Linked DNA regions of Rhinolophus ferrumequinum. The protein of the gene in region 3 purifies or fractionates together with the protein of the main gene of each other region. This does not show direct contact. Links are inferred from orthologs where the notes say so. Each region holds a gene or a part of one and is shown on either strand. Other genes may lie near its edges. The genes, in order: RPP38, RPP25, POP4 and POP1.

What was found.
Region 1: the proteins of POP4 (region 3) and RPP38 purify together in Homo sapiens (affinity purification with mass spectrometry; 4 studies listed by BioGRID and IntAct, counting the BioPlex papers as one, with this or other methods). This does not show direct contact. The link is inferred for Rhinolophus ferrumequinum from reciprocal best matches to the Homo sapiens genes POP4 and RPP38.
Region 2: the proteins of POP4 (region 3) and RPP25 purify together in Homo sapiens (affinity purification with mass spectrometry; 3 studies listed by BioGRID and IntAct, counting the BioPlex papers as one, with this or other methods). This does not show direct contact. The link is inferred for Rhinolophus ferrumequinum from reciprocal best matches to the Homo sapiens genes POP4 and RPP25.
Region 4: the proteins of POP4 (region 3) and POP1 purify together in Homo sapiens (affinity purification with mass spectrometry; 5 studies listed by BioGRID and IntAct, counting the BioPlex papers as one, with this or other methods). This does not show direct contact. The link is inferred for Rhinolophus ferrumequinum from reciprocal best matches to the Homo sapiens genes POP4 and POP1.

Annotation. Positions count from the first base shown.
Region 1 is NW_022680355.1:1,566,237-1,573,709, forward strand, and holds the start of RPP38 (ribonuclease P protein subunit p38), read left to right. Parts: upstream 1-4,473; 5' UTR 4,474-4,592; intron 4,593-7,473. UniProt on the Homo sapiens protein: Component of ribonuclease P, a ribonucleoprotein complex that generates mature tRNA molecules by cleaving their 5'-ends. Also a component of the MRP ribonuclease complex, which cleaves pre-rRNA sequences.
Region 2 is NC_046289.1:99,496,837-99,503,700, forward strand, and holds the start of RPP25 (ribonuclease P protein subunit p25), read right to left. Parts: upstream 2,855-6,864; 5' UTR 2,645-2,854; coding exon 2,003-2,644; 3' UTR 1,616-2,002; intron 1-1,615. UniProt on the Homo sapiens protein: Component of ribonuclease P, a ribonucleoprotein complex that generates mature tRNA molecules by cleaving their 5'-ends. Also a component of the MRP ribonuclease complex, which cleaves pre-rRNA sequences.
Region 3 is NC_046298.1:2,073,911-2,081,532, forward strand, and holds the start of POP4 (ribonuclease P protein subunit p29), read right to left. Parts: upstream 2,791-7,622; coding exon 2,784-2,790; coding exon of another isoform or gene 2,696-2,783; intron 1,189-2,695; coding exon 1,136-1,188; intron 1-1,135. Other genes in the region: uncharacterized protein LOC117034730, read left to right, coding at 2,696-3,085, 4,263-4,418. UniProt on the Homo sapiens protein: Component of ribonuclease P, a ribonucleoprotein complex that generates mature tRNA molecules by cleaving their 5'-ends.
Region 4 is NC_046297.1:40,022,379-40,030,052, reverse strand, and holds the start of POP1 (ribonucleases P/MRP protein subunit POP1), read right to left. Parts: upstream 3,012-7,674; 5' UTR 3,001-3,011; coding exon 2,895-3,000; intron 635-2,894; coding exon 491-634; intron 1-490. Other genes in the region: RIDA (2-iminobutanoate/2-iminopropanoate deaminase), read left to right, coding at 3,193-3,257. UniProt on the Homo sapiens protein: Component of ribonuclease P, a ribonucleoprotein complex that generates mature tRNA molecules by cleaving their 5'-ends. Also a component of the MRP ribonuclease complex, which cleaves pre-rRNA sequences.

The DNA.
Region 1 (7,473 bases), on a different chromosome or scaffold from region 3:
AAATGTGTTATTCTCTGTTCTTGGCTCGCTCCCTGATTGTTTCTCAAGAGGTTGTTTGCAGGAAATCCAGAGAGGTCTCCCCAGGGCGCGGACCTCACTCGGGATTCCTTTTTTTGTATATACCTCTGTTCTCTCAGTAATTTCTAGAAACCTGGACGGTTGACAGCGTTTGTTCAGCCCTCTCCCGTCCCCCCACCTGTCTCTAAGCACAGTTCATCAGGAATGAAAAAGGCCGGTATTTTGCATCTTTTCTCCTCTTTATAAAGCAAAAACACTGACATTCTGAAGACATGCTGCAAACACCCTAACTACGTAGTTTTCGGTTATGGGCAAGACCTAGGACTACACACCTATTCAGTCTGACCCCATTCTCCAGGGAGCAAACCCAAAGTCACTCCAAGTCTGCAGACACAGAGTGGGGTCCTGATTCGCATTTGATTAAAATTTCAAAGTCTTGGCTGCCGTCCGACTGGAGTCTTGGTGGAATGAATGCCTTGCGATTCCTCCTGGAGGAAGGCCTCCCTGTCTCGGGGGAGACTCCCACAAGGTGTTTCTCCTCCACTTTCCTAGTTTCAGCGGAGACGAGGGCTTTTCACATTGCCCTCTCTTCTCACCCCCCCCAACCCTCCATCCCCTTACGGCCCAGCTGCCGGCTTCTGTGTTGTCTCTGAAACTGCTTGGCTGAGGTCAATGCAGTGTGACCCACGGCTCATAAACCCACGGTTATCTGACGTCTGTGATAGGGACATTATGCTGATCTTCCTTTTGCTGTCTTGTAAGTATAACAAATGGTCTGAATCCAGTTAGGTTCTTTTTGTCCTTACCGACCTTACGCATGGACGGGTGGCACTGCCACCATGCCGTCGCCTACGGGTTGCCTAACTGCTTGAAAGGCGTCACCTGTATACTGCTTCTTTGCAGTATTATATAGTCCTACCTAGCAGAGCTTCCAACAGCACAGGCTCAGAGGCTGTTCTTTGATTTTGTAGCTCATCATTAAAGTTTATTCTTAGTGACTGATTTAAAATAACTGATTACTACTTGTATAACAATTGTTGTTATATATAAGAACAATCAAACTGTGGTGGTGAATTTTATGTGTCAGCTTGACGGACTGTGGGATACCCAGATTAAACATTATTTCTGAGTGTTTCTGGATAAAATTAGCAGTTGAATCAGTGGACTCAGTAGAGTAGATCGTCCTCCCCAGTGTGCGTGGGCATCATCCAGTCCATGCAGAGCCTGCATAGAAAAGGCAGAGGAAGGAGAAAGCTGTCCCCTTTTCTCCCTGCCTCACTGGTTGAGCAGGGCCATCCCATCTCATCTTCTACCACCCTCGAACTGAGAATTATATCACCTACCCTTTCCTCTCAGGCCTTCGGGATGAGACTGAAACTATACTACCAGCTTTCCTGGGTCTCTAGCTTGTGACAGCAGATTGTGGGACTTCTCAGCCTCCATAATCACATGAGCCAATTCCTCATAATTATCTGTATATATGATATATATATATGTATATATACGAGGTCTGACAATTAAGTTCACGAACTTGTTGCACCGATGTTGCTAACCTTTTTTGATATCAGAGAGATTATTCATCATCAATTTGTACCAACTGGACAGTCAACCAAGTTTATTATTTGGAAGTGCTGAAAAGGCTGAGTGAAAAAGTTAGATGACCTGAACTTTTCGCCAACAATTCATGGCTCTTGCATCACGACAATGCACCTGCTCACATGGCACTGTCTGTGAGAGAGTTTTTAGCCAGTAAATAAATAACTGTATTGGAACACCCTCCCTACTCACCTGATCTGGCCCCCAATGACTTCTTTTTTTACCCAAAGATAAAGGAAGTATTGAAAGAAAGGCATTTTGATGACATTCAGGACATCAAGGGTAATATGATGACATCTCTGATGGCCATACCAGAAAGAATTCCAAAATTGCTTTGAAGGGTGGATTAGGCGCTGGCATCGGTGCATAACTCCCCAAGGGGAGTACTTCGAAGGTGACCGTAGTGATATTCAGCAGTGAGGTACATAGCACTTTTTTCTAGGATGAGTTCGCGAACTTAATTGTCAGATCTCATATGTCTACATACTTCCCACTGGTTCAGCTTCTCTGGAGAATTCTGAATTCTAACTAATACACACACAGCAAAGATTACAATTCCATAGAAAGAAAGAAGAATCTGTCAGTGAATTGTCTTATATTCTTCTATTGTTTTATTGGCAAACTTCCTTGTTGGGCCTTTCATTTAGTTCATCAAAGGACTGTGGCTAATGACATAACTTATCACCAAGTATCTTAAACCACTCTTACATCATGGCAAGCATATAAATCTAACAGCAGTCCAATTCTAGAATTAATATGAAAAGAAAGCTTTGTTATTCAAAGACCAAATTGAGTTTTACATGGTAAAATTACTGTTAAGAGCTATCATTAAAAAGTAAAGCTCATCATTCAGTATAGGATCCCAAATATATGGGTTTAAGTGATAAGTTGAAGACTATGCTTGAGAAACATGGAAAAATGTTATATGGAACAGAAATCAGAACACAGAATTTAATGTATATTATTATTTTAACAATGCAAACGCACACATAAATGTGCGTTTATGTGTGCAAAATGCATACAAATTAGGACACTGAAAGGAAATGTGTTTTGAGGTAATTTTCTCTTTATTTTTTTAATTTTCCATTTTAACCATTTTTCTTACATTTTATTGGGGAATATTGGCGGACAGTGTGTTTCTCTAGGGCCCATCAGGTCCAAGTTGTTGTCCTTCAATCTAGTTGTGGAGGGTGCAGATCACTGGCCCATGTGGGAATCGAACCAGCAACGCTGTTGTTCAGAGCTCACGCTCTAACCAACTGAGCGTTCCAGCCGCCCCTCTATTTTTTGTTGCAATGTTTGTGTGATACAAAATAGAAAGAAATTATCTTTGAAATGCAGTTATTCATTTTAGCAAAATTCCTGTGAAAATTATACGACTAGTCTTAAACGAGAACACAAGCATTGCAATCACAGAGGCTACAGTTTATTTTTATTAACTTAGTTCTTAATTCAGGTTGTCACTAGAGTCATCACAGTTCTCATTATCAAGCACTTTCTATGTGTCAGGACTGTGCTAAGCATCTTACATAGATTATCTCTTCTAATCCTCACAACTGGTACTATTTGTATCACTTCATAGAGGGTTAATTAGAGTCACATGCCTAGTTAGTGAAAAAATTAGGGTTTCAATCTAGCCAGCCTGGCTCCAGAGCCATGGAAGGTAATGGCAGGTAATCTTCATCGAGCAAATGTAAACTGAGATGATGCTGTAACTCTCACTATACGATCTGGAACTATAAATGTGGAACTTTGAGGGGACAAAAACTGATACACATTTCCTTTTCACTATTCTAGCATTTCAACTAGACATGTGTGTCTCCATTTGTCTCACAGCTTAGAAGCTAGATCTAAGGCTACTTTAGAACTGTATGTTTACAGTTCATCACAATGAACCAATAGGATTCATTTTATTAAACAAAGCCTGCTGTTACATTCAAACGCATTGTAACTTTTTCTTTTGATCTTTCTAATTGGGATTTAAAAAATCACAGTGTACTTTCCCGTGCAACCTGCAATAACCTTTAACAAAAAGCAACACAGCTTTTTTGTTATTGTTTACTTTATAACCAGTTAGATACATGTAAGTGATGAAAATTGAAAATACAGAAACTAGACCAAACCAAAGGGGGTGGGGGACAAAACTAGCAGTGAAGAGATTGAGAAAAAGAAGATGTTGATAAAAGGAAAAGGAAGGGGGGCGCTAAGTTAGATAGGAAAAGAAAAAGAAAGGCGGTGTGTTGGGAAGAGGCTCATTGTGTCATAAGTAACCTACTGTCTTCCAAGTTCTTGCCAAATGTAAATCAACAGATTCTGATGCCTGACCTTGAAAATGTTGTTCAGCTGGTTTACAATTGTCCATGACTTCCCAGCGACTCCATTCATAACCGTTAGTCTCCATTAGTTGGTGTAGCCACAGCAGACGTTTGGAGTTTTCTGAACTGCTGTCGCAGAACTCAAAGCAGCCTTTACTCCCTCTCTTTAAAGGGGCTCAAGATTGCCTACATTGTTGACTGTAAGCATGTTTTTTTCTCCCCTCAAAGCACCCTTCAGCCCCCATTTATTTTGATTTTCACGGTGCTGGGGATTCCCGCAGGGATGCGATGGAGATGGGGTCACTGGGACGGGGGCTAGGGTTTTGCGTCCCTTTAGGCAAGCCAAATACAGAAAAGCGGGAAGGGAGAGAGGGCTAAGACTGCCAGGCGCTGAAAGGTAGAGACTGGGTCGGAAGGGAAAGGGTGACAGGTGAGAAGACCAGCCTTCAGGAGGCTACAGGCTAAAGCCGGCCCCCAGACCTGGCAGAAGAGCTAGGCAGCGGCAAGTTACCGTAGCAACGTGAGATCTCGCGAGACAGACATTGCGCCTGCGCCCTGCTGCTGTAAGGCCTCGCCCGGAGCTTCAACACCCGCTCCCAAACAGGTTTTCAAAGGTTGCTACGCTTCTCTCCCGCGCGATGCAGTGAGCCAACCTTCTCTCTTGTGAGTGAGCTAACGCAGAATGGCGAACTGTGAAGTTCCTTGAGCATTTGGAAATCGGGGCTGGGGAGGGCGAGGGCTGTGCGCACGCGCGTGGCGGTGCACGTGGAGCCGGCGCCGTGGCGATCGTGAGTGGGAATAGGGCGCCCGGGACGCAGAGGGGCAGGAGGGGCCCGCCCCTGGTGGAATGGGGGCTGGGACTCGGCGAGTGTGAAGGCTTGCGGGCGCGCAAGGTCTCCAGGGCTTCCCCAGGACCCCCGCTTCCCCGGCCGCCACCGTCCGGATGGGCGTATTTTCCTGCCTCCAGCCTTGGCTCACGCTCCTATCTCTGCCTGGAGCTGAGCGTCTTTTGATACGAGAAATACTAAAGCCCCACCCTGACCCTTCAGTACTCCACAGCCTTTAAGTGGAGACGGACCACAAAATAACGACCATCGCGTATGCTAAGTAGTAAAGTACCAAGGCACTAGATACAGGGGCGACATACAAAGGGAGGAGTTAACTCCGGGGCAGGACTGCAGCCTCTGGGAACGGGCTCTCCCCTCTACCCTCTCCCCCCCCCCCCACCGGATCCAGAAACCTGGAAGCATCTGTCACTTACCTGCTTTACTCGCAGTTGATCCCAAAGTCGGGTAGAGTTTTACCTCTTGATTATTTCAGCTAGCATGTATCTGTCCATCTCTGCGGTGACTCTGGCAGGCCACCATCATTTCTTACCTGGACTTCTGCGGGACCCCCTTTGCTGCTTCCATTCTTGGCAAAGGACCCTTCCAGGCCCGCATCCACAAAGATCTTTCTGCAATGTCTTTGTAATCATGCCACTTCTCTGCTTGAAACGTTAGTCACTTCCCCCTGCAAGGCTTGCAAGGACCTTCATCTTAGGTAGGTCTTTACCTACCTTTCCTAATATGTCACCACTCTCTGGCATCTCTACCCCAGCAACACTGAACTTACTTCATGTCCTTTAACACTATTCCCTGGATACTCTTTCCACTTCTACTTCCTTTGGTAGGCGTTCTTTAGAAGTGGATTAAAAGGTCGCTTCCTCCAGGAGGACCTGCCTGATCTCCCCACTAAGTCAAGCTTCTGTTACATGTTCCCTTAGTGTCCTGTAGTTACCTGACCTGAATGTGCACCCTAATTGTATTATATTACATACTGATACCGTGTTTCCCCGAAAATAAGACCGGGTCTTATATTAATTTTTGCTCCAAAAGACACTATAGGGCTTACGTTCAGGGGATGTCATCCTGAAAAATCATGCTAGGACGTCTTTTCTGGTTAGGCCTTATTTTTGGGGGAACACGTGTCTTGCTCATAGATTCTAAGCTCAGTGAGGCCATGACTTTTTTCTAATACTTTATGACTTGGTGCATTGTGGATAATCTAGAAATACTTGTGGGAGTAAGAAAAGTGGTTATGGGGCTGAGGGTGGGAATAGTATTCCAGGCAGAGGAAATAATGTGTATACAGACGTGGAGGTGATGCAGTGGGTGAAATGTGCATAGTGGGGCACATGAGAAAGGCTGGTGGGGACATGGGAACAGAGAAGGGTCTTGTATGTCACCTTAAAGAGTTTGCACTTGATCCTATAGGCAGTAGAGGCCTCCAATAGCTCAAAAGGCACTGCCAAGGGCTTCCTATTTTTCTCCTCCTTACCAGTCAGTACTTTGTTTTTGGACTGTAGGTCCTAAGATTCTTCTTATCCGAACTTCTTGGCTGTCCTCTCCCCCGCTAGATTCTGACAACAGGAGTTAAATGCCTACCTTGCTTTCCCTCCGAAGCACATAACTCTAAGTATCTCAGTATTTCTTCTGCGTTTGAATGCTGAGACGTTAACTGACTCGCAGTGTGGCAAGAGCTGTCAGATCCTATTTGTCTTGTCTTCCTGACCACCTCCAACCTGATCCCAGTCTCTGCCAATCACCCTTGGATTTGGATGAGCTACTTCCTGGTTCCCTGAGCTGGAGGGGAGCATGGAGATAATAAGGGTTGGGGAGGGCTGTGCAGTGGGGCTGGTGTGAAGGCTGCAGGCACCGAGTCTCTGGCAGTGGGTACTACTGAGATGGGCAAGATCTGACCTCTCACCCCAAGGAGCGCAGTTGGGGTTTTGTGTAAGAAGGTGACTTATAAGCAACACTGGAGACCAGTGGAGGTCAGGAGACCGTTTCTCAGGGCTGTCCAGCATGGAAAGGCCGCCTGTCCTACACCTGCAGATTGTTCCTAATTAGTTCGTATCAGATTGACCCAGATAGCTTTTTACAAGTCCAGATGCCACAGCCCTATTCCCAGGGATTCCAGTTGAGTAGATCCAGTGTAGGGACCAACCATCTGTATGTTTTAAAGGCCACAGGTTATTTTTGAGGTGCAGCCAGGATTGGAAGAGCATAAAATTTAGATTTGGAAACCAGCTGTGACTTTGAGCAAGGTATTTGATCTGAGTCTATTTCCTCATCCTCACATTGGGCAATTATACAGGAATTTTGAGACTCAAATAATGGAGAAAGTGCCGTATAAATTCTGACACACTCCAGACACTTGCTCGTGAACATCGGTAGCCAGCCTGGTAACCGGGAGTTTAACTGGAGAGGACTTAATTACTAATCCTGCAGTGGGGGTTTCATGGAGTGTTGGCCTCGGTGCGATAAAGGACCTGGGTGGAATAAGGGAACATCTAGAATCTGGTTACCTGAAAATAGGGACAGTTCCAAACTGCAGACTTCTCCAGGGCTGGCTTATTTAACTTCCTTGAGTGTTGCCACGTGGGTCCCTACAGTGCTTAGCTGAGCCAAGGAAGAAGATGAGGAAGAAAACTGAGGGAAGAGAAAGGGATATGCAGTTGCCTCTGGGCAGGAGAAACAGGATATACTCCCTAGACCAGTGC
Region 2 (6,864 bases), on a different chromosome or scaffold from region 3:
CAGGTAACATTCTGAAGGTAGGGCAGCAAAAAGCCCCCCTTTTCTCCACGCCCCGGGAGATTCCAGGCCAGAAGGGGACTTACCTGACCCAAGTCATCGGAGAGAAAGCCTCTGCTTGCAGAGTCCTTGTGACTGCCCAGTCAGGACTTCAGACACTGGTGGTCTCGGAGCATTGGCCCTTTTCCAGAACCAGGACCAATCTCTCTTAAGCTTCTACCTCTTCTAAGTTTTGTTTCTTTTAGATGAGGAAGCCCAGAACCAACCCAGGGCTCCTTGGTCGTTAGGATAATTTATATTCTTTCCACCCTTATTTGGCCACCTGAAAGAGTCAACCAGCCTTCCCCAGGGACTCATCAAGAACAATAAATTGGGAGGGCAACCAGTGCCAGTCTGGAGGGGAGGCCTCCCTGACCCAAAGCTCAAGCAGAGACATGGGGGAGGGACAACTTCTGTCAGCTGCAGAAACGTACCTCTTATCACCAGCAGAAGGATTTATTTCAGGGTTCTGCCAGCAAAGTGACTTACGTTTGTGTAATGTAAGTCCCCATCTCCTCCTTTCCAGGGTGCTGTTTTGTTGCATGGGGTGAGGTGTGCTTCTGAGGTCATGGGGCTATGTGCCCCCCCCTTTACTTGCTGGAGTTCTTCCAGCACACAGCACTTCCTCCTCCCCCAGCTGAGTTGGAGTTGGGCAGAAAGGCTTATGAGGCCGTTATCTCTCAGCAGACAGCTGTGCAGGGCTGGAGGCAGCAGCTTATCAGGGAGCCTGCAGGGATTCACAGCCCAAGTCCCAGCTTCTCTGCTGAATAGTAATTTCCAGCAATGGATTTGTGCTCATCTCTCTCCGCCCCCTCTCCCAAGGGTGTGCTGTCCTTTCTTAGAGAGAGGAGCAGTGAAGAGGAGATCCTACCCATGGGATGAGGGGCTTTGTGCTGGTCTTCTAGACAAAGCTCAGTCTATTGGCAGGAGGCTGCAGGTTTAGGGACCCCAGTAGGTTCTGCCACTCTTGGCAATGACCTCCCGGGGGAGTTCATCCATGCTCTTCTTCCTTTCTCTCCTAGAAAAGCAATGTGCTGCTCCCTTTTCCTTACTGGTGATGCACAGGGGGAGACAGGCCTCCTTCCACCCACAAGCCCGAGGCCAGAGGCAGTCAGGGAAGGCTGGAGAGAGAGGGAGAAGCCAGGGACTGAACACTGTGCTTCTCACACCATTTTGAAACTGTCCAGTCTGTGCCTGACCCTGAAGACTCCAAAGGCTAAGAATCCCAGGCTGGAGGGGACTGAGACACAAGGGGGCAGGCCAGAGCTGTCTTTGCCCGGCAAGTGGTTAGGAAAAAACCTGGGACAGAGCCATTTTTGTGTTTGTTTTATTGGAAGCAAGACTCCAGCTGTGGGGCTCAAGGGAGGAGGCATGGAGAGTTCTGTCCTGGGTCTGTCCCTCTGGGCCAGCATGGGGAGGGGGGGATGTTACAAGAGCTAGAGCCAGGGGCGATGCCTGGCCACCATAATCTCAGGATGTTCCTTAAAAGCAGGGGAAGGAAAACTACAAAGGTAAATGTCTTGGGGTGAGGGGCAGAATGGGGCTCCCCACAACACAAACTCCCCTACCAGTTTCTCACCCCTTGCTCTCCGCTGGTGGGGGTAATTCCAAGAGCTCCCTTTGGCTTCCACACTCCTCCTCATGAATGCTGGGTGTCTCTAACCGTTCGGGGTCCTGAGTAAGGCTCAAGAGTCCCACTGCCCGGAATTCCCTCCCTGAAGAGGATCCCAGTATGGCTCAGAAAAGATGAAGGTTGCTTTCAGGCAACACAAGTGGAGGAGCAACCGCCCCACGAAGCTTCCTTGGGTCCCTCTCTTGTGGTGTGGGGTCCACGAAACCAGTCTGAGGAGTTGAGAGCAGGCTGTGAGCTCCGGCTGACCGAGGTGTGAACGGCTGGAGGTACGTCTCAAGGTGGAGGCGCTGGGGCTAAGATCCAGCCCGTCTGGTGGCCCAGGGCCGGGAGTGTTCAGGTCGTCTGATTCTCTTCCGCAGCACCTGGCTCGAGTTGTGACCGCTTCGCGGAGCCTTCTCCAGCAGCGGGTTCCCTTAAGCTCCTCTTGGGCGTTGGCGCGGTTGGCTGAGATGAAGAGTCAGGATGGGGGCTCGGGGGCTGGTAGCCAGGTTGATGCGGATCCAGTGCATCTTTGGAAAGTAGGATGGCGAGGCTGGGCACGTTCTTAAGTACACTGAGGCTGGCGGCCGGCTCACTGGGCTTCTGCTCCGGCGTGGGCCCTGGCGGGAGGCTCTGCCACACCTCGCGCACGCTCCGGTAGCGCAGCCGGGTGACTTGGTGCAGGCCAGCCAGGCGGCGCTTCAGGATCTCGGCGCACGTGACGGTCTTGGTGGTGGCCCGACCGCAGCCGCTGAATACGATGGCGCGAGTGGCTGGCTGCGCCATGCTGGCGGTGGCGAAGGCCAGCAGGTTCCGGATTTTGCTGCCCTCCTTGACCCTCATGTGTACAGCGCCGGGCGCCAGGTCCGCGAAGGGGCCGGAGCCCGGGCCGCCCCCCTCCGCCCCACCACCCCCCGGCGCCTCCTCCGAGCGCACCTTACGGAAGTTCTCCATGCGCCGTCGTTGCCCGGACCGCGGGGACGCGGGCTTCGCCATGGGGTCGCCTCAGCCTCGGAGCTGCATGGCCGCTGGTCGACTGGGTAAAGGCCGGCAGGGGTAAGGGTGCGGGAGCGGCTCGGACGCTGGCGGGCTGGCTGCGACGGCGCGATCGTTGCTTCCCACTTCTCTCCAGGGATCGCTGCTCTATTCTGCGCTCTCGGCGCCGGATGCTCCGCGCCTTTAGCGGAGGCCCGGCCTGGGAGCCTGGGAGCCCCGCCCCTACCTTCAGGCCCCGCCCCTAACTCGGTCCTCTCGCCTCCGCCCCAGCCTCACCCGCCTCTAGGAATCCGGTCAGATCCTCTGCTATAGGGGCGTAGGAGCAGCGCGCATCCTGGTGCGCAACGGCAGCGCCAGAGGGTGACTTGGTAGGCGAAGTTCCCCTATAATCGTCATCAGCCCTCCCCGAGCCAACCCTTATAAACGGGCAAGCTAAATAAAAACTGTGTTTGCGTTGCAAACGCCGCTTCAAGCAGGGTCCCCAAGCCCTTCCGCGTGCGTTCCAATTGAAGACAGCCTCTTCTCCCCTCCCACGGAGAGACTTACAAGCGGCCTGCAGGGCCTCTTTCCCCCACTCCTTTGGGGACCCCCCCAACTCTGTCGCTTCCGCTCCTGAGCCAGTATTCTTGGCTCAAGGACAGCCTGTGCACGGTCAGCAAGTGCGGAAGGCGCTGTCTCCGGCCCTACTCCGTGCCTGCCCTCGGATGACTACGTCGCGGCGTGGTCCTCACGGGGCAGCCGGAGGCTGAGGTCTCAGCCTAGCCGCGCCTGACTGCTTTGGAGGTTACCGGACACCGGGACACCCCTGGGGAGTAGGCAGTGAGGCTCTTGGCCAAACTGTTCCCTGGGATGAATGGGAAGAGAACAAGGAGATCCCTTTTCAAGGGGGGTTAAGCTCCTTCCACCCCTGCCTGAAAGTCTACTATTAGAGCTGCAGGCCTTAGGATAAGCCAGGCATGTTTCCCTGCTGACGTGAATCCCCCTTCTTCCCAAGTGGTTCGCTGTCAGTCAGCTTTGGCCCCGAGACCTCTGGGGTCCTTTTCCAAAAAGGAGACTGGGCGAAGACAGATTTTAAAAGAGAAAAGGGAGGAAGATGGGAAGTTGAAGCTTTGGTGGCATTATGAAGCTATTGGGTGCCCCTCTCCGGGAACTCCGCTGGACCGAGAGAGAGTGGCCCCAGGTCTCCTGCCAGGAGAGATGAACAGTGAAGCCAAGAGGCGAGGACTGCTGAAGGCAGGCAGGGGTTTGCAGGAGCGGGACCCTTCCTAGAACGGCCCCAGCGCCTTTATCCTTCCACCCATCTCACGCACCTCACAGTCAGAACTGAGAGAGTGGGGCAGACTTGATCCGGGTGGGGTGCCTAAGACGGAACGTGGCGGAGTGGCGCACGAAGAGCTAGTGGAGGGCAACCCTGAAAGTGTTGGGGGCACGACAATGTCTGGGGAAGCTGGGCCCCAGTCTTAAGATGGAGCTGCCGGAGTCCTCCTCTCCCTTTTCAAGGCTGCTATCGCCTCCTCGGCATCCTGTAACTCCTAGCTCTCGGCCTTTGCTGTTCAGAAATCCGGGCTAACCCCATTACCGCTCTTTGGGAGTGGCTGGAGCAGGTGGACCTTTGCGTCCCAACGTTTGAGTGACGGACCTCCCCCGATCCCCTGGTCGCTCGCTGGGATGAGGGGCCCTCCGGTCGCGTTCTGCTCTGAATCTGGACTTGGGCCCCGCGTGAGCTCCCGCGGGCCCCACGAGGAACAGCCATAGAAGCCGGAGGCACAGCAGCCTTGAGAAGACACAAAGACTGCAGCGCTTGAGGGGGGGGGCGCAGGGGACCCCACACTCTGTAAGGCCAGGGAAGTTGTGGGACTTAAAAGGCGGCAGTTTGGCTAGGCCTGAGAAAGTCCCTGAACAGCCGGAAGCTATCTTGTTTCCCGGAAAATAAGACCTAGCCGGACCATCACCTCTAATGTGTCTTTTGGAGCAAAAATTAATATAAGACCAGGTCTTATTTTACTATAAGACCGGTATAATATAATATAATATAATACCCAACCGTATTTTGCTATAAGACCCGGTATAATACAATATAACATAGTATCATATAACATAATATAATATACCGGGTCTTATATTAATTTTTGCTCCAAAAGACGCATTAGAGTTGATTGTCAGGCTAGCTCTTATTTTCCGGGAAACACAGAACCTTGGATCGGGTTGTTTAGGGAAAAAGCAAGCTCTTCATCCGCGGGGTATATAAACCAAGGCAGAACGTTCCCTTGGGTGTGTGGAGGGGCATGAAGGCAGGAGTCTGCAGTTTGGAAGAAAGGGCCTGTGAGCTCTGGTTTTGCAAAGGGTGAGGATGCGGCGCCGCCTGGTCTGGCCCGGGAAGGCGGGGCTCCCCTCACCCTCCTCCCGCCCCGCGCCTGCCGTCAGCTGTACAGGACTTGGATTCACTTCGCTCCGGGGTCCTTGAAGGGAGAGCGCCGAAAAGGCCCGCACTCCCTCCTCCCTGTCCCCTCCCCTTCCTCGCTCCCTCTGCAGCACTTAAAATGTAAATGTACACCATGATTAGCCGCTGGGTCTCTAATTACCGCTGAAGCCATTCATTACCCTGTCAGCGCGCGTCGTAGCCCGCCGGCTGTGCGCTCCAGCGGGGCCGCCGAGTGGCAGGGCTGGGAAGAGGGGGTCGGAGGGATCCGAGAAGCGTGGGGGCGACGCTGCGTAAGTAAGAGTAGTGAGGTCCGCCGAGAGGAAGCGGGGGCTGCAGAGGGGCCACGCCGGGCAGGAAACGGGGTTGGCGCGGAAGCGCAGGGCCAGGGCAAGGAAAGGAGAAATGCGGAGGGAGCAGCCTGGAATGGGGGCGTTATAGACGTAGCAAAGATGTGAGGGAGGAAACGGCGATGAGGAGCGGGAGGAAGGGAGAGTACGCGGGGAGGAACCCGGGGGAAGGGGCGGTCGCGGTCCGGAGGGGAGTGGAGGCTCAGCTCTGGGAAGGTTGGTTGATAAATTGGAGCTTCTTTGGCCGACACTCCTCGACGGTTAGAACCGTGGAGAGTCAAGACTTTCTGTTAAAAGAGTCGGGTGCTAGCTGTACACACTGTGGGACCACAGGTATTTTTAAAGGGGGAGATATTTCCGTGTGTGTGTGTGTGTGTGTGTATGTGCGTAGATGTAAATGTATTTTTTAAATATCTGCAAGAAGACGGCATACGACATCTGTTACCTCTAAGGCCGCTTCCAGTTTTTGTGGGCCTCTTTAAGAAAAGAACTGCTAAATTACTAACTATGAATACAAAATTCAGCCCAGAGCCTTGGGACTGCCCGTGTCAGTGAGGTACTCACCTTGAAGCCTGAGCTTCATTAGCTTCTTTTGCCTCTGTGACCTTGAGCGTTTACTTTACCTCTATTCCTTAGTTTTCTAAGCTGTAAAATGGTGCTAACATAGGAACCTGCCTCATAAAGTGATTGTGAGACACCTAACAGTCTTAGAACATTAGCTAGTAAGTTCTCAGAAAATGCTGGCTAATAGTTTTCATATATTATGTGTGTTTAAGATAAATTTAAAAAATTTAAAAAGGGGGATGAAGGGGAAAGAAAGCTGGTGAAAAGGAAAGGAAATGAGCAAATTGGAAATTGGAAAGGAAATTAGAAATTGCAGTTTTCCCAATATGTTAGGGACTAAGGAGTGGCAAATCAGACTCCTTTCACCCTAAGGGGAGGTGGTGACAGGCCTGGCTACTGGGGCACCAGCCCCTGCTCTGCATTGGCCAGGCTTATGCACCTTTCCAATAGTACATCTTGCTTCTCATGGACAAGTCTCTTCTCACCCCAAGACTGGGAGAAAAATCCGTGGCACAAGATAGGTCTCCTTCTCCTCTGTCTCCAATGGCGGGAAGAGGACTCTTCCTATAGACAGACCCAGGGAAAAGACCTGAGGCTGAAAATATGCTTCTGTAAGTGGAGGGCAGGGAAAAGACCGAAGAAAGAGTCACAGCACTCCAGTTGGTAATTAATGGTGTTTATTAAGGGAAACTTAGACACGAGGCATGTCTTGGGCGGCTGCAAGAGAATTGGATTCTCCAGCAGCTTGGCAGGCACCAAAGAATTACACAGGGTAAAGGAGGGGGTAATCACAGTACTAGTATGTGAACGCCACTCGGTATGGAAATTGCTTAACATGCTTGACCGAGTCAGGACAACAACCTGTTCCATCAACCGTCACAGAGCAG
Region 3 (7,622 bases):
TGAAGGGAATGATCCTCACACTCGGGAAAACGGCACACCACCTTCTCTGGGGTGGGCCCAGCCCCCGGGGTAGGGGTTTTGTCACTGTGCCCACGTTGCAATCCCCTTTACTTGGGTTTCCAGTTCTGTGGATGAATCGTGGCTACTCTCCAAGCCTGTTCCCACATCACTTGGGGAAAGGAACTGTCAGCACCCCTCAGGCCCTGCCCCCACGCCCGTGCTCACTCTCTTGTACATACAGCACAGTGTCATGTGACCGTGGCTCTCAGAGAGGACTTCTGGGCAAACCGTCATAATCGTGTATAATTCTTGAAGGAACTCCAAGCATCGCCGCCTCTCGAGCTGGAGACCTCCAATCTGTCCCTCATTCAGGAGCGGCTGCCCGGGTCTGCCACAGCCCAGGGAGCACCACCCACTGGTGTCTCGGCGGGACCATTTCCTGGGCCCCTGTTGCACTGGGCCACAGGCTGCAAACCCCCCGAGGCTCCTGTGTCTGTAGTCATCAAGCCCTCCCCTCAGGGGGGCGGGGAATGAAGGTGTGATGCACATAAGGAGCTCACCGGGGGGAGGGCACGTGGCTTCAGCTTGGTACCTTGGATGCTAACTAAAAATCATCACTATTATCTCTGTAAGGGAACAATTATTTGACTGTGGGCCCTCCTTCATGGAGAAGCCAAAAAAAGTATATCCGTCTTTCAAAATCTTGATTTTGAGGTATCTCCCTCATCATGAGTCACCAGTGGAGCGTGTGCCAAACTGACAAATCATGTTTGCAGCATCCAGGTATACTCCATAAATTCCACTTATGAAATGTGATTTGCCTGCCCTCTTCAAGGGTGAAGGGGACACAGTGACAACGTCAAATGACAGTGCTCACAGGCGCAGGTTTCAGGTGGGCATAGCCTGGCGTCCCCTACATAGTGGGTGATGACACAAGGTCAGGAAGTCCTAGTTAACCAAGCTTGACTTTGGCACGATGGGAAAGGAGGCCAGCATATGAAACAGGCCAACAGAATAACAGAGCTCGAGGGAACCTAACACGGCTACTGGAAAGGTGAGGAGTAAGACCTGGAAAAGGACACCTAAAGCAGCACTAAAGGCTAGAAGCCACCGGGTGGACTTCCTCCCACCTTACCTGAACATCAAACTCTTCCGCCTCTTTCTGAGAAAAGGCATGGTAGATCGCACCTGGGGGAGTGAAGAGCACAAACACGGAATGACTCCTGTTGGGTACGGCTATAAGAGCCAAGAGGCTTTTAACTACGAAAATAATTATGCTTCTTCAGAGATAGGAGAAGATGGCACGGTGTAAAGAGCAGTTTCAAAACTCCCTTGGATGCCTCTTCTCCTACTCTCTGGCCATGTCCATCGTGGAACTCCCAAGGGGGTGCTTTAAAACAGGGCTTCTCAAACAGCAAGGTGTGTAAGAATCTCTGGGTTCTTAGGAAAAAGTGGATTCTTGGCCCCACTGCCACACCCTGCATTCCTAGCAAGTTCTCCATGTCACTGTGGGTCAGCGGGCCACATCTGGAGTCGCAGTGGTTTAAAATACCGTAGTTTAGAAACCTGGGAAGTTGCTCAATTAGTCTAATAAAGTAACTCATCTAAAAGTTATATGATAGGGCTTTCCAGGATGCAGGTGGTTGGCAATATTACATTTTGTTACGTGTAAGATGTTTAAAAAAGATTTTTCACATTTTACTATCTATGAACTTGGGATGTACCCTACAAGTGGTGCCCTAAACTGAGAAAATACAGGTCTTTCTTCAAGATCAAAGTATATCAATCATTGATGTGGTTTCAACTTCTACAAACTTCCACACTCCTCTTTTTTACTTAATTTGTCTGAAGAAGAAAACTAGGGCACTGAGGACAGACTATGGGTCTGAACAGAGTAAGAATGAGAGAAAGGCCTGGTTTAAGGGACAGAAGAATAGAAAATTTGGTTCACACTACACTCTGTAAATTTCATCCCAGCTCCCTTGTGCTTCCCTGAGAACATGTGATGAAGCAAACCAAGTGGCTGCAAGTTTGATGTCTGGAGTTGAGTTCTCCCTTGTGATGGGGAGAGCAACTTACAGGGCCTGGAGCCCCAGGAAGGACTTTGCCTCACCTGTCACAGGTGCCTAGCTTTAGACTTGGGAGGCTTTTGTAACAGTACACATCTAATGGTATTGAGCCCTCACTACTTGCCACGAAACTCACTGAAAGCCACACATATTTCATCTCATTACACTTTCTGAACAATCCTTTAACACAGTTATTATTAAGTTGACACAGGTAGGAACCCGCAGAGGCGGAACTCAAAGTCCTGACCCAAAGCCCCGTTGTAACGGTGTTTCCGCTCCCCTGCCTGTGACTGCCCTGGGTGCTCGCTCCGCTCCGCTCCCGAAGCTTTGCGTTAGTGGTATCACTGCCCAGCAAGCGCCCAGAGCTCTACACCAAACAAGGGTCGTTCACAGAGCAGCAGGTGCCAAGGCACCATTATCAGTAACTGTACTTTACAGAAGGGGACCTCGGTCACCCAGGGAGGAAGCGGCCACATCGGGCCAAGGCCTTGGGCCCTCCTCTAGCTTCAGACCCCACTGAGCAGCCCCCAGAGAACCGGCCTCCAGCTCTGCCATCCACCCTGCGCGGAGGCGGGGTCAGGCTATCCGGGCCCCGGGCCCGTTTCACCGAAGTGAGGTTCCCGTAGGACTCCGCAGCGCTCCTTCTCACCCGCCAGCACCAAGCCCGACCCTTCCCGTCCCACCCCTCCGCCGCTGCGGCCCTCGACCCCTTACTCTTCATCCTCGGACCGCTTCCGGCGCGCTCTGATGACGCCTGCGTCAGGCGCCGCTCAGCGGTACCTTCCGGCTCCTTCAGCAGCGCTCGGCCCCCGCAGCCTCTCTCGTCACAGCCGCGGGTGGACAGGTTCCGGGCACCCGAGCTCGCGCGCCACGCTAAGTCGACAGGCTGCCCGCTCGGACGCAGAGCGGGGGTCGCAGGCGCGCGGAACGCGAGGACGGCGCCGCCGTGACGTCACCGACGCGCGCCGACCTAGAGTGGCGCCGGCGCGCGGGAGCGGCCTCGGCGGCTGGCGCAGGTATGGCCGCTCCCGCGCTCGTCTGTCCCTCGGAGCGGGGCTAGCCTGTGTGTTTTGTGGGCGGGGGAAGGCTAGAAGCCGCAGGGCTGCGGTTAGGGCGTGTGGGATGCTTGATCCTTTCTTTTTTTGTATAGCTCTGAATGATAAGCTTTCAAACATGCACGCAGATGTTTTCCCACTAGTGGTTTTTTTGTGAAATTTCCAGGGGAAGTCGAGTTTTGATGGTATCATTGCAGATGAGTCTGCCCCCCCCCCCCCAACAATTTATTGTGAAAATCTTGAACTATACAGGAAAGGAGAAGAATTTTACAGTGAACACCTGTGCGCCATTCGATTGTACAATTAACGTTTTGCCGTAATTGTACAGGTTTCCTCTGATTGCTGCTTTAAGACATTCAGGCCGGGAGGTTGAGTACTCTAAGAGAAGTGTCATGTACAAGCCCCAAAAGATTAAGCCTCAACTATTAAACAAGCGGGCATCTATGAAAATTAGGACCCTTCTAGTAGAGTTTAAGTAGAAGAAATGGTAATGATCCTGAAGAAGCACCAGCAAATCTGTAATGAGAACATGGAAGGCTTTGTTTTCGGTGAAAGTTGTAATCCTCCAAGTTAAAAAAGTCGGTGTATTATTTTATATATAACATAAAATATAATTTGATAAAATATATGTATATACACATACATATGCATACACATGCACACACGTGTATATACAAGGGGTGATCAAAAACTACAGTGAATGTTTAAAAAAAATTATTACAGTAAAAGACACATTGCTATTAACCCCCTCAAAATACTCCCCCTCCTTTCGAACACACTTATCCCATCATTCTTGCCACTTTCTGAAGGGGTCCTGGAAGTCCTCTTTTGTGAGTGTCTTTAGTTACGCTGTCCTGGCTGCTTCCATGTTCTGAATCGATTCATAACGTTTACCTTTCATGGTCCTCTTGACTTTGGGGAAGAGCCAGAAGTCACATGGTGCCTGATCCAGTGAATAAGGTGGATGAGGACACACCGTAATGTTTTTATTGGACAGAAGTCGCCATATCCGAAGCGATGTGTGACATGGAACGTTGTCATGATGGCGGATGAAACTCTTTGCCCATCTCATGTTAATGTGTTGTTTGTGATCCATGATTTACGGCACACTTTAAAACACACCTTCTCTCAACCGTAGCTCACACCCGACTGACTGCACCAACAAGTTGAAACTTGTCACACACACCGTTACTAAGGTTCGACGCGCCGCTTCCTGTGTTGAAGATCTCTGCCTTTCCGTTGGATGGCACTCAGCAGCAGCAGTCACAGTGTGTTTTGATTACATCTTGTATATGTTCGTATGTATATACATACAGAATTTTTTCTTTCTTTTGTGTTTTTGTGAAGTGGTTAAACCTGGTGTGTTTGAGAGGGATGAGCCCTGTTCTGCTGTTTTAGACAGGAAGGCCTTGTTTGTGCCATGGGATTGACAACAGTACCTGCTTCCTAGGGTGGTGTGGAGCACTCAGTGATATGACGCCCATGTTAAAACAGGGCTGGCACAGACATGGTTTGAGAGATGCTAGCCATCGTTGTCTGCATTCTCACAAAGCTGAAACAGTCCCTGAGGCTCAGTGTTACGAACTTCCCTGGCCCTGCTTTGCCTTTGATCTGATGATTGTCCAGATGTGGTGTATTGAGAAGGGGAACTGGGAGTGGTGGTGGTGGGGGACTGCACACGGGGGCCCCAGCAGTCATTCCTCAAGCTCAATAGTGCCACAGGAGACTGCCCATTCTGACAGCGAGTGAAGGGACCAGGCTGTAAGGTGCCCGTGCTAACATGGGATATTCCTGCCAGGCCAGCCCTGTCCTGCTGGGTCACTGGGTGCTCTGGCTACAAGAAAGGACCGATGCTTACAGGGGGACAACGTAGCAATCCCTTCTGGTCACGAGACAGCACTGTGTTCTAAATTAGTTTAAGAACCATTTGGAATTTTGAACAGCAGGGGCTAGGACACTTGGCATGTGTGACCAAATACCAGTTTCTGAAATCCAGGTTTCTCAGTCTTTCAACCCCCAAAAGTCACTCTTCAAGGCTGTCTTGATCCCAAGTGTCTAAAAACTCAACTGTCATAGATGCTTCCAGTTTCCTGATGAAGTTTTACTCTGAGCTGAACTCAACTGAGGAAAGCTTGGTTTGAGTTTCATGACAGGGTGTCTTAATGAACTGGATGGAGGCTTTTGGGGGTTGTAAGAGATCTTCCCTGGATGTCGTTCCTGAGGCCCTGGAAGGTTTTGCAGGGAAGTCAATGCAGGCTGCATGGGGCAGGCGTGCATGCTGCTGTGTGTTTGCATAGGTCTGAGTCCATGATGGCCCCAAATATGGGAAAGTGGGAGGGAGAACCAAGCTGACAGAAAATCACCCCACACTGCCATTAGGACAGGGCTGGAAAGCAGAGACCTGGTTTTATGATGTTTGACTCCCAAAGCCCCTCCGGAGGTAGGGAACAGACCTCCCCTTCAAGATATTTGAAGCCAGATGGGGACTTGAGCATATTGAAAAATATAATTCAGGGAAAAAGTCAGGCCCTCGGCATCGCTGCCCAACAGGAAAAGGTATGCCCAACAGGAAAAGATGGAGACACCTCTCAGCCTTCCCACGCTCTTCTGTTCTGTCACCTGCAACATCCAGGTTAAGATTTAAAAACCAGTACGTATGACACACAAAGAAGCAGGAACTGTGACCCATAATCCAGACCAGAAATGGTCACTAGAACAGGACCATTGATGACCCACGTTTTAACTGGAAGACAAGGCCTTTAACATACTATTATAAATACGTCAAATGACTTAGTGGAAAAGATGGACAAAATGGGTAAAAAGATGAGGAATTTCAGCAGACACATGGAAATTCTAGAGCTGGAAAAGACTTTTTCTGTTTCCTGTGATGGTAGGTGCCTCCATGTTCAGACTTAACATTTTCATACCTACTGAGAATATGTGCCCAGAGCACACACACCCTTCCTTTTTAATCATGTGATAAATACTGTTTCCCTCGAGCCCCGAGGCCTCTCTGGGCCCCTGTGTCTTGCTTGTTAAATGAAGGGAGCATGGGGACTGTGTCAGGCCCCCTTGTAGCCCCTGCACTGCCCGCTGCTGCAGGGACAAGTCCTGGGAAGCGTGCTTTGTGTGCTCGGGTCCTGGTGGCCACTTCCTGTGGCTGGGAGCCCTCACAGGGGCTTCAGGAACCTGAAGAACTGGCCTGTGGAGGTTACCAGCTGGGGAATAGCTCCACGGCCGGGTTGGTTCCCGTTTTCCATCTTCTCAGGACCCACGTCCATCCTCATTTGTGAGGTTCCTTTTGCCTGTCAGTGTGGTAACAGGAGGACTGGCCTGTTTACCCAGCGCTGGTCTGCAGAGCGCTCAGGCCCTGGGGTGGGCCGCAGCGCTCCTTGTAAGCTTGGAGTGGCTCCTGTGTTTCTCTCAGGTCTTTGGGCTCAATGGGGGACTCCGAGGACCCATGGAGTATGGAAGGAGCATGCGTCTCTAACACACACCTGGAGGCCTTTGCTTTTGGAAAGGACGCCCCCACACTTTCCCCATAGGAGCCAGGAGGGGGGCCGCCGTCCATCTGACACAGGGTGGGGGTGGGTTGGGCGAGTGGTGGAAGAAGTAAGGGCAGAGGTGGCTGGGGTGCCAATGACAGGCCACACTTCGGATTTTTGACAAGGGTCGAGTCTGCTATGAAACCTGTTTTCCTATGTAATGAGGTTCCTTGATTCCCCCAAAAGAGCTGGCATTAATATTAATTCCGCCATTTGGACTATGTCAGCTTACATTGGCATTTGTTATTTATTGGTTTACTTTTTCTTTCCGGGGAGGTCTTGGAGTGTTAGACATAAAAGCTGTCCGCAGTCAAGGCAGGATATCTGAGTCTGTCACGAGGTGGCAGCCTAACACAAGGACTGAATCAGTGGCCGGACGCTTCTTCCAGAGTCTGGAGTAATTGCCTTCCAAGCCTGTCAAAAATCTGGTTTACCAGCCACTTCAAAGACTCTCAGGCCTTGGTACTGAAAACCATGGCCATCCAGGAGCTGGGTTATTTCTCTATAAACAGTGTAACTCGATTTTGATCAATACCTTCCCTGCCAGACAGAACAGTTAACAGAGTCAAGTGGTTTAATAAGATAGAGGTTAAAAGGAGAGAGAAATTATGGGAGCCTGGGGAAGAGGTGTGAGTGTGGATGACATTCAGAAATTGATGGCCTGTCCACGAGGTGGAAGGAGAGGAGCCAGGATTTGTGGGTGCATGTGGCCTGTTACAGGCGGGGCTCCTTCTGGGAAGGTGCGGAATGGATTTCCACTCCTGTCCGCTTTGCTTGCTTTTTGAGGTCCCCTTGTTTTTTCTTTTACTATGAAATGATTTTCTGCTCAGTGGCCTTGTTATTACCAGGGAAAGAGACAGTCATACCTTCAGAGGAAATAATGCACCATCCGGCAGCGATGCAGTGGCATGGGCTCATGAGTTTCATGTGACAAACGTCCTTTGCTGTGTTTG
Region 4 (7,674 bases), on a different chromosome or scaffold from region 3:
AGGTTATAATCTTAAATGGTAAAAACAACTTATCCTGGTAGGTTCTATTTTCTTTATTTTACAAAAGAGAAAATCACATTCAGAAGTGTTAAGTGACCTGCCTGAGGTCACCCCACAGTTGGAATTCAAACCCCACTAAGAGCTGGAGCTTCTTGCACTATACTGCACTGCCCACCCACTGTCTCCATCCTCTGGTCATCTCCGTATGCAAGTTGAAACAAGAAGGCAGCTGGGAACGTCCATGTGGGTGACTTGAATTTTTTCTCCACTTTGCTAGTGACCACCAAAGTGCCATGAGTATTAATTTTGGGGTTACAAATAAACTTTTACAACTAGGTGAATTTGCAAATACAAAATTTCCAAATAATGAAGGTCAACTGTATCTGTTTTTAACTCAGCTCATTTACTATTTAGATAATAACTATCAAAAGGTGCTGAGGAAAGAAATTTGCTCCAAATGGGAGTGGAGAGAGCATTAGGTGTATCTTACCTTGTTTTTGAGCTCGGAAAGGTTTTCCACCTCCATTATGGTGCTTTACACTTCTATCAGCCACAAAGCCAGAGGATAAAGTCACATTAGTGGGCTGGTTTCTCATTTTCTTAGCATGTTTTCTTTCTTTTGCATTAGACATTTCTGGGAAGAAAGTTAACAAATTTAGTACAGGGAAAGGAAACTTCCATTCAAAAATAAATTTAATAAATATTCATGTGATTCAATATTTAATTCTTCAATATAATAAATCTTTATTTATTTCAGGTGGATTGGTGATATCAAAATGTTATCATGATATTGATATATAGCAGGGATTAATAACCAGGGGGATCTCTAGAGGAGCCATGAATGGTATTAACATCAAAAATCTGATTCAATAGAAGAAATAATGCTATTGATGCAAGAGACTATACTGGTACATTCCAGTTACGCTGCCAAATAATTAAATCATATACCAATGTTGGCAACTGCATAAAGTCTTTTGAATGAAAAATGAGGTATGAGATAAGATCCCTATGCCATGATAAAAAATTAAATTAACTAAAGCATTTAATCAAAATTCTTGGGTAAAACATGAGCCACCTGAATCACTAAAATATAGAACACACTATTCTGATATGATAACCTTTACGAAAACTGAACATAAATTATTGATGTTTTCATTTCTACTACTGAGATGAGGCCAGCTGCACCTTTAATTTATAACAGCAAAAATATTTCAATTTGAAGGAAGGATAAAGGACAATAATCTGGAAAAGCCTGATGGATTTACTCAGTAATTCTCAATTTTCAACATCCCCCTTTTTTTCTGCATAGTTTCAAAGACCCGTTTTCTATTTTTAAATGAAATTCACTAATAACATAACCTACCAGACATGTATAAATTTTATCAATGCATGCTCTACAATATGGGCCCTAATTGTAATCTAAAGAACTAAAAAGTGGGGGCCGGGGCCGGCCGGGGGCTCAGGCGGTTAGAGCTCCATGCACCTAACTCCGAAGCCTGCCGGTTCCATTCCCACATGGGCCAGTGGGCTCTCAACCACAAGGTTGCCGGTTCAATTCCTCGAGTCCTGCAAGGGATGGTGGGCTGTGCCCCCTGCAACTAAGATTGAACACGGAATCTTGAGCTGAACTGCCACTGAGCTCCTGGATGGCTCAGTTGGTTGGAGTGCCATCCTCTCAACCACAAGGTTGCTGGATTCAACTCCCGCAAGGGATGATGGGCTGTGCCCCCTGCAACTAGCAACGGCAACTGGACCTGGAGCTGAGCTGTGCCCTCCACAACTAAGACTGAAAGGACAACAACTTGAAGCTGAATGGCACCCTCCACAACTAAGATTGAAAGGACAACTTGACTTGGAAAAAAGTGCTGGAAGTACACGCTGTTCCCCAATAAAGTCCTGTTCCCCTTCCCCAATAAAAAAAAATCATTAAAAAAAAAGAACTAAAAAGTAATTTTAATAAATGATATGCATTTCTTGTATGCAAATATTTCACCAAAATTGTATTAGATGACATTATGAAATAATGAAAAAACACGAAAGTTCTTGAGCAGAAGTAGGAAAGCCAAAACCTTAGCAGTATGTGGGGCAAAATGAGGAGAATAAACAGGATTTTCTTATATTATGTTTTAAAAGCAGGGCAGGACAGGGATCCTACCTAACTTTTTTACTCCTGTTTCTCCAACACCTAGCGAAGTGCCTTGCACAAAGAAGGGGCTCAATGTATATTTGTTGAATGTACATATGTGCGCATAAATGAGGGAGTGAAGCGTACCTGCAAAGTACTAATTAACAAAATAAAAAATAGCCAAGTATCACTCTTCTGACACAGCATGACGATTGCATAGCTGCCAAGTGACCAACCCTGGGGCCCTTTGCTGGATCAAGATCACTATCTTCCTTTTTGAAATCAGATCCCACACACTAGGGCTCTGCTCAGATCAAAGCGGAACGCATGGAGACCTCGTAAAGCTCCAGGAGTACTCAAAAAAAGGGAACATGGGAGGGGCGGGAAGGTGGAAAAGGACTAAATCCCAGCGTGGTCCCCTGAATGATCCATCTCGTTCCTCTACGGTTTAAGGAGAGAAGGTAAAAGCCCATTCCCAGAACGGCCTCCGCCCGGTGGGGCAATGCAACAAAATGATAAACTTAGAGGGCTCGAGCATAGGGGCCGAGGGAGGTGTGGGATCGGCAAGAGGGGCCCAGGAGCAGACAGCAAGGGAAGAAGAAGCCAGTGGGGTCTGAGGGAAGAGAAGATATAGGGGGTGGGGACGTGGGGGACAGTACGCGGACGCCGGGCAGGGTGCGTGCGTGCACACACACACACACACACACACACACTCACTCACTCCCCCAAAGTCGCGGACCCTAACAGACACCATCCCCTCATGACCTACCTGCTTGACGAACCGACGGAGGAAGCCAGGGCTTCCCGGTCAGAATGACAAGGCTCCGCCACAGTCTCCAAAACGACGTGAACGGTGAGAGAGCTGGAGGGAGCATGCGCCAGTGCGACCGCTGTCTCCACGTGGCCGAGAGCCGCAAGGAAACTACAACTCCCAGAACGCTGAGCGAACGCGCCCCGGCGTCTTGTTTCTGGTGGCACTGCTGGACTCTGGATAGTCCAGTAGTCGCGAGCTGGGGTAGTGTACCGGATAGTTCTCTCCAAGAGGCCTCAAAGGAAAAAGATTAGCTATGTCATCCTTGATCAGAAAGGTGATCAGCACCACGAAAGCCCCAGGGGCCATTGGTCCCTACAGGTAACTAGGCTTGTGGGAGCGCGGTCGGACCCCAGGCGTGTCGGGTGTGGGGTGAGCTGTTCGGCAGTGACCACCCGGATCATAGCTGGGGTGGGCCTGGGCCAACCTAATCTAACACTTGAGGAAACCTAACTCGGGAAACGGGGCAACGCACCCATGGACCCACAGTGGGTTAGGAACCCCACTAAGACACAAAGCCTGCGCTCCCGGAGACTTTGCCCCGACCCGGGTGGACTGCCTCACGGGGGAGCGCAGTCAGCCAGAAAGTTTCTGGGGTTAGACGTGGTCTGTTTTTTATTTATTTATTTTGTAACAGCTTTATTGAGATATAATTCACATACCTATAAAATTCAGCCCTTTAAAGTGTACAATCCAGTGACTTTTTTACTATACTCACAGAGTAGTGCAGCCATCACCACTACCGTGTTTCCCCAAAAATAAGACCTAGCCGAACAATCAGCTCTAACGTGTCTTTTGGAGCAAAAATTAATATAAGACTTGGTCTTATATTAATTTTTGCTCCAAAAGACTCATTCGAGGTGATTTTCCGGCTAGGTCTTATTTTCGGGGAAACACTGTATGTAATCTCAGAATTTGTATCACCCCAAAAAAGAAACCCTATACCCATTAGCAGTCACTCTCTTCCTCCAGCCCCTGGCAACCACTAATCTACTGTTGGTATCTATGGATTTGCCTGTTCTAAATGTATAGTAAATGGATCCTACAATATGTGGTCCTTTGTGACTTGACTTCTCTTTCACTTGGCATAATGTTTGGTCTAATTCTGTCTTAATTCAAAGGAGTAAATCCTATCCACAGATGTGGGTGCCCTCGGGAGAGGTGAGTTCTTTTCACAGAAATGCTTAGCAAAACCTTGCACATCTACCCACGACCCTGGATTTTACAGCACATATATAAATGCATTGTGATATTTATGAATTCTTTGCCCATGTTTATTTCACACTACTAAAATAAAATACAAATCATAAGAAAGATCATTTTCTAAGATTGCCCGACATGCTCTAGTTAAAATAGGTATACTGGCCAGAAGTCTATCTTGTGTACAGAAGCACTGTTAAATTGAAAGTTTAATTCCTTTTTTTTTTTTTAGATTTTGTTTTCTTAAAAATGTCTCAGCTTTAAAATTATTGGACCTTATATGCATTCTTGGAGACTTTTTTTCCTAATATTACTTTTGTTATTTTTAATTCTTCACTAAAGTATATCCTGTAACTTTTTTCCATTTTCCTTTTTAAAATAGTCTGTAGTATGTTCACTGTTAACTACAGCTGGAAAATTTCTGCAACTGGAACACTTGAACTATGACAAACATGTATTGAGTACCTACTATTTGCCAAACACTGCAGGAGATATAAAAATGTGTAAGAATCAATCCAGTATGAAAGACAGTCACACATATCGGGAAACGAAAAACAAACATTTTAATTTAGTGCATGTTGCATAGCAAGCACCATAACAGACCAACTTCTCTTAAGTCCCATCCCCACTTTACAAAAAGAAAACTGAAGCTCAAAGTGAACTTGTCCAAGGTCAAACAGTCTGCAAGTGACAGAGCTTAATTTGAACAAGCCCTACACTTACGTGTGGCAGATGAGTAATTATTATAGTAGGGTTAGAAATAAAGTGCAGTGGGACTGAGGGGACATGGAGGTTGGGTGAGCGGTGACAAAAGAGGAAAAGAAAGAATTTGATGCTAACCTTGGGCAGAGGGACAGAAGATTTAGGAAGGTTCCTAGTGAGAGGTAGTCTTTGAGGTGGGTTTTGAAGGTTGGATTTGCATTTACAGTACTATTGTAAAGTTTGATTTTTAAATTACAGTTGACCCTTGAACAACATGGGTTGAACTGCACAGGTCCACTTATACGTGGCTTTTTTTCAATAAATACTGTAAATGTATTTTTCTTATGATTTTATTGATAACATTTTTTTCACTAGCTTACCTGATTGTAAGAATGCAGTATATAATACATATTATGTACAAAATGTGTTAACCATTTATGCTGTTGGTAAGGCTTCCAGTCAAGGGTAGGCTATTTGTAGTTATGTTTTGGGGGAGTCAAAAGTTGGATTCTCAGCAGTTGGGAGGGGGTGGGCTCCCCTAACCCTCACATTGTTCAGGGTTGAACTGTACTTTGTTCAGGACTTCAACAGGAAGTTGTGGAGTGAAGGGCATTCTAATTAGAGTGAATGACTTGAGGTATAGAGCTAGAAGAAAACATGGCATAAAGATTTTCTGGAGTAACATTTAGTCATCCAAGTACCACTTTTCCTCTTTTTTTCTTTTCTTTTTAAACTCTTTTTTTCATTTGCCAAATCTGTGTACCACCTATATTATAATTTACTTTACACTTTATTTTGTGATGGCTCACTTTTACAAATTTAAAAAGCAAACTTTACGACAGTACTCTAAATAGAAAACCCAATAGGCAGTAACAGTAAAAAATAAACTCAATAGAATAAAAAATGTTATTAAATTCTAGCTAGATACTGCAGTTGGCTCAAAACCCAAGGCCTTTCTCTTTTTTTAAAAATGATAGGTTTCTTTAACTTGTTTTCTCCATGTAATTAGCGGATTGAACTCTTAATTGCTAACCTTTATTGAGGCTTACTCAGCAGTAGGCACTGTTCTCAGTGCTTTATGTACACAGTTACTAGTATTACAGTCCCCATTTTTCAGATGAAGAAAGAGAATGGAAAGGAAATCATTTCCTTACTGATATTCTGTATTTGTGTGTGACCTACGCTTTGGCAAACACTTGTTAGGAGTTAGACTTTGAATTTGAATTTTTGTTTTGTCTCTTGCTAAACATTAGCTGTTACAAGGTCTGAATTGTGATGGTTTCCAACGCTAAACTGAAGAGTATAAACTTTATTGTGAATGCACTGAGGAGCCATCAAATGTTTTTGAAGAGGAAGTGACATGATCTGATCTCTTTTAAGAAGAGAATTCTGATAGTAATTTGAGGAGAAGATATTAAGAATAGATAAGGGATATTACAGTAAAAGAAAAAATCAGTAATCTTCTTCCTCCTTATGCCCTAATGCTTATCCCTCAATCACCCATTATTTTTACCTCAGAATAAAAGTGATCCTTAACAAAGCAAAGTGATCACAGAGCCTGGAGCATATATCTTCCTCAAGTATATACTTTGTTCAAGAAAGAAAGCAGGATAGTAGTACCCCTGGTTGACTGACCTGGGAGTCAACTATCTTTATAAAGCTGCAAGCAAAAGAGAAGGGAATCATTCCATGAATATGCCCGTATGACAAGAGGAAAGCCATCAACCAGCTTCATTGTGTGGAGACTTTCCAGGATATTGTGCCTCTTGTGCTTTTTTGTATCCAAAAATGATACTAGAAATGGTGCTAATTTTCAATATTTTATGAAGAAAAAAACATACTCCACCTAACTAGTTATGTCCTGATAAAGTTAATTGGACGTGTTTTAACAACCATTTGGAAAATGAGATTTTATGCATGGAGTTGGTAGTGAGTGCACTTTTTGAAAATTCTGGGTCTTTTCCAGGAAAAATTCAAATGTGTTGAACTTTCAGTCCCTGGCATTGGGGTGGATGGGGTGTTGTCACTAATTAGCTAATCAGTTCAACACATTTCAGGAATACTTCACAACAGAACCTTGAGAGATTTCGACATCACATTGCTATTGCATTGCTTTCCATTTTGTTTGCATACCATCTAAATGGTCATAAAATTTTGAAATGATAGTCCATGTGTCACAGATTATGATGTGAGAATTATTACTAGGATGTTTCTAAAGTATTATTACCCTTTGACTTGGGAGTAGAACACTTAAATGTTCTAGAGCCTGATGACTGTCTATGGGTAGTAGGATCCTTATGCTTAGGAAGGGTCAACTATCATTGTTTTTGTGAACTATCTCTGCTAATCTATGAGAGAGAACTCACATAGCTCCGATAGTCTCAGAGGTCCAGGCCTTACTTTTTTTTTTTATATTTTATTTGAGGGTTTTTAATTTTCTGAGAATAAATGAATTCCTTCTTACTGTCATAAAGTTTTTGATGAATGATAATGCATAAGGGCTTAAACTATGTTCCAGATATGGGGAGAGTTAAAGGTACTTTGCAAAGGGCCGAGGACAGCCTAATTCTACACAGGACAGTTAATAGAAACAGTGTTAGCTGATGGTACTATTCAACCTGAGAGAAGCTTACATATTAACAAACTCAATAGTTAATCAATTTGTGGGCCAGGGTGAAAGCCAGATAGGGAGAATTCCTAAACTTTCTAAATCCTAATACCATGTTTCCCCAAAAATAAGACCTAGCCAGACAATCAGCTCTAATGTGTCTTTTGGAGCAAACATTAATATAAGACCTGGTCTTATTTTACTATAATATAAGACCCGGTCTTATGT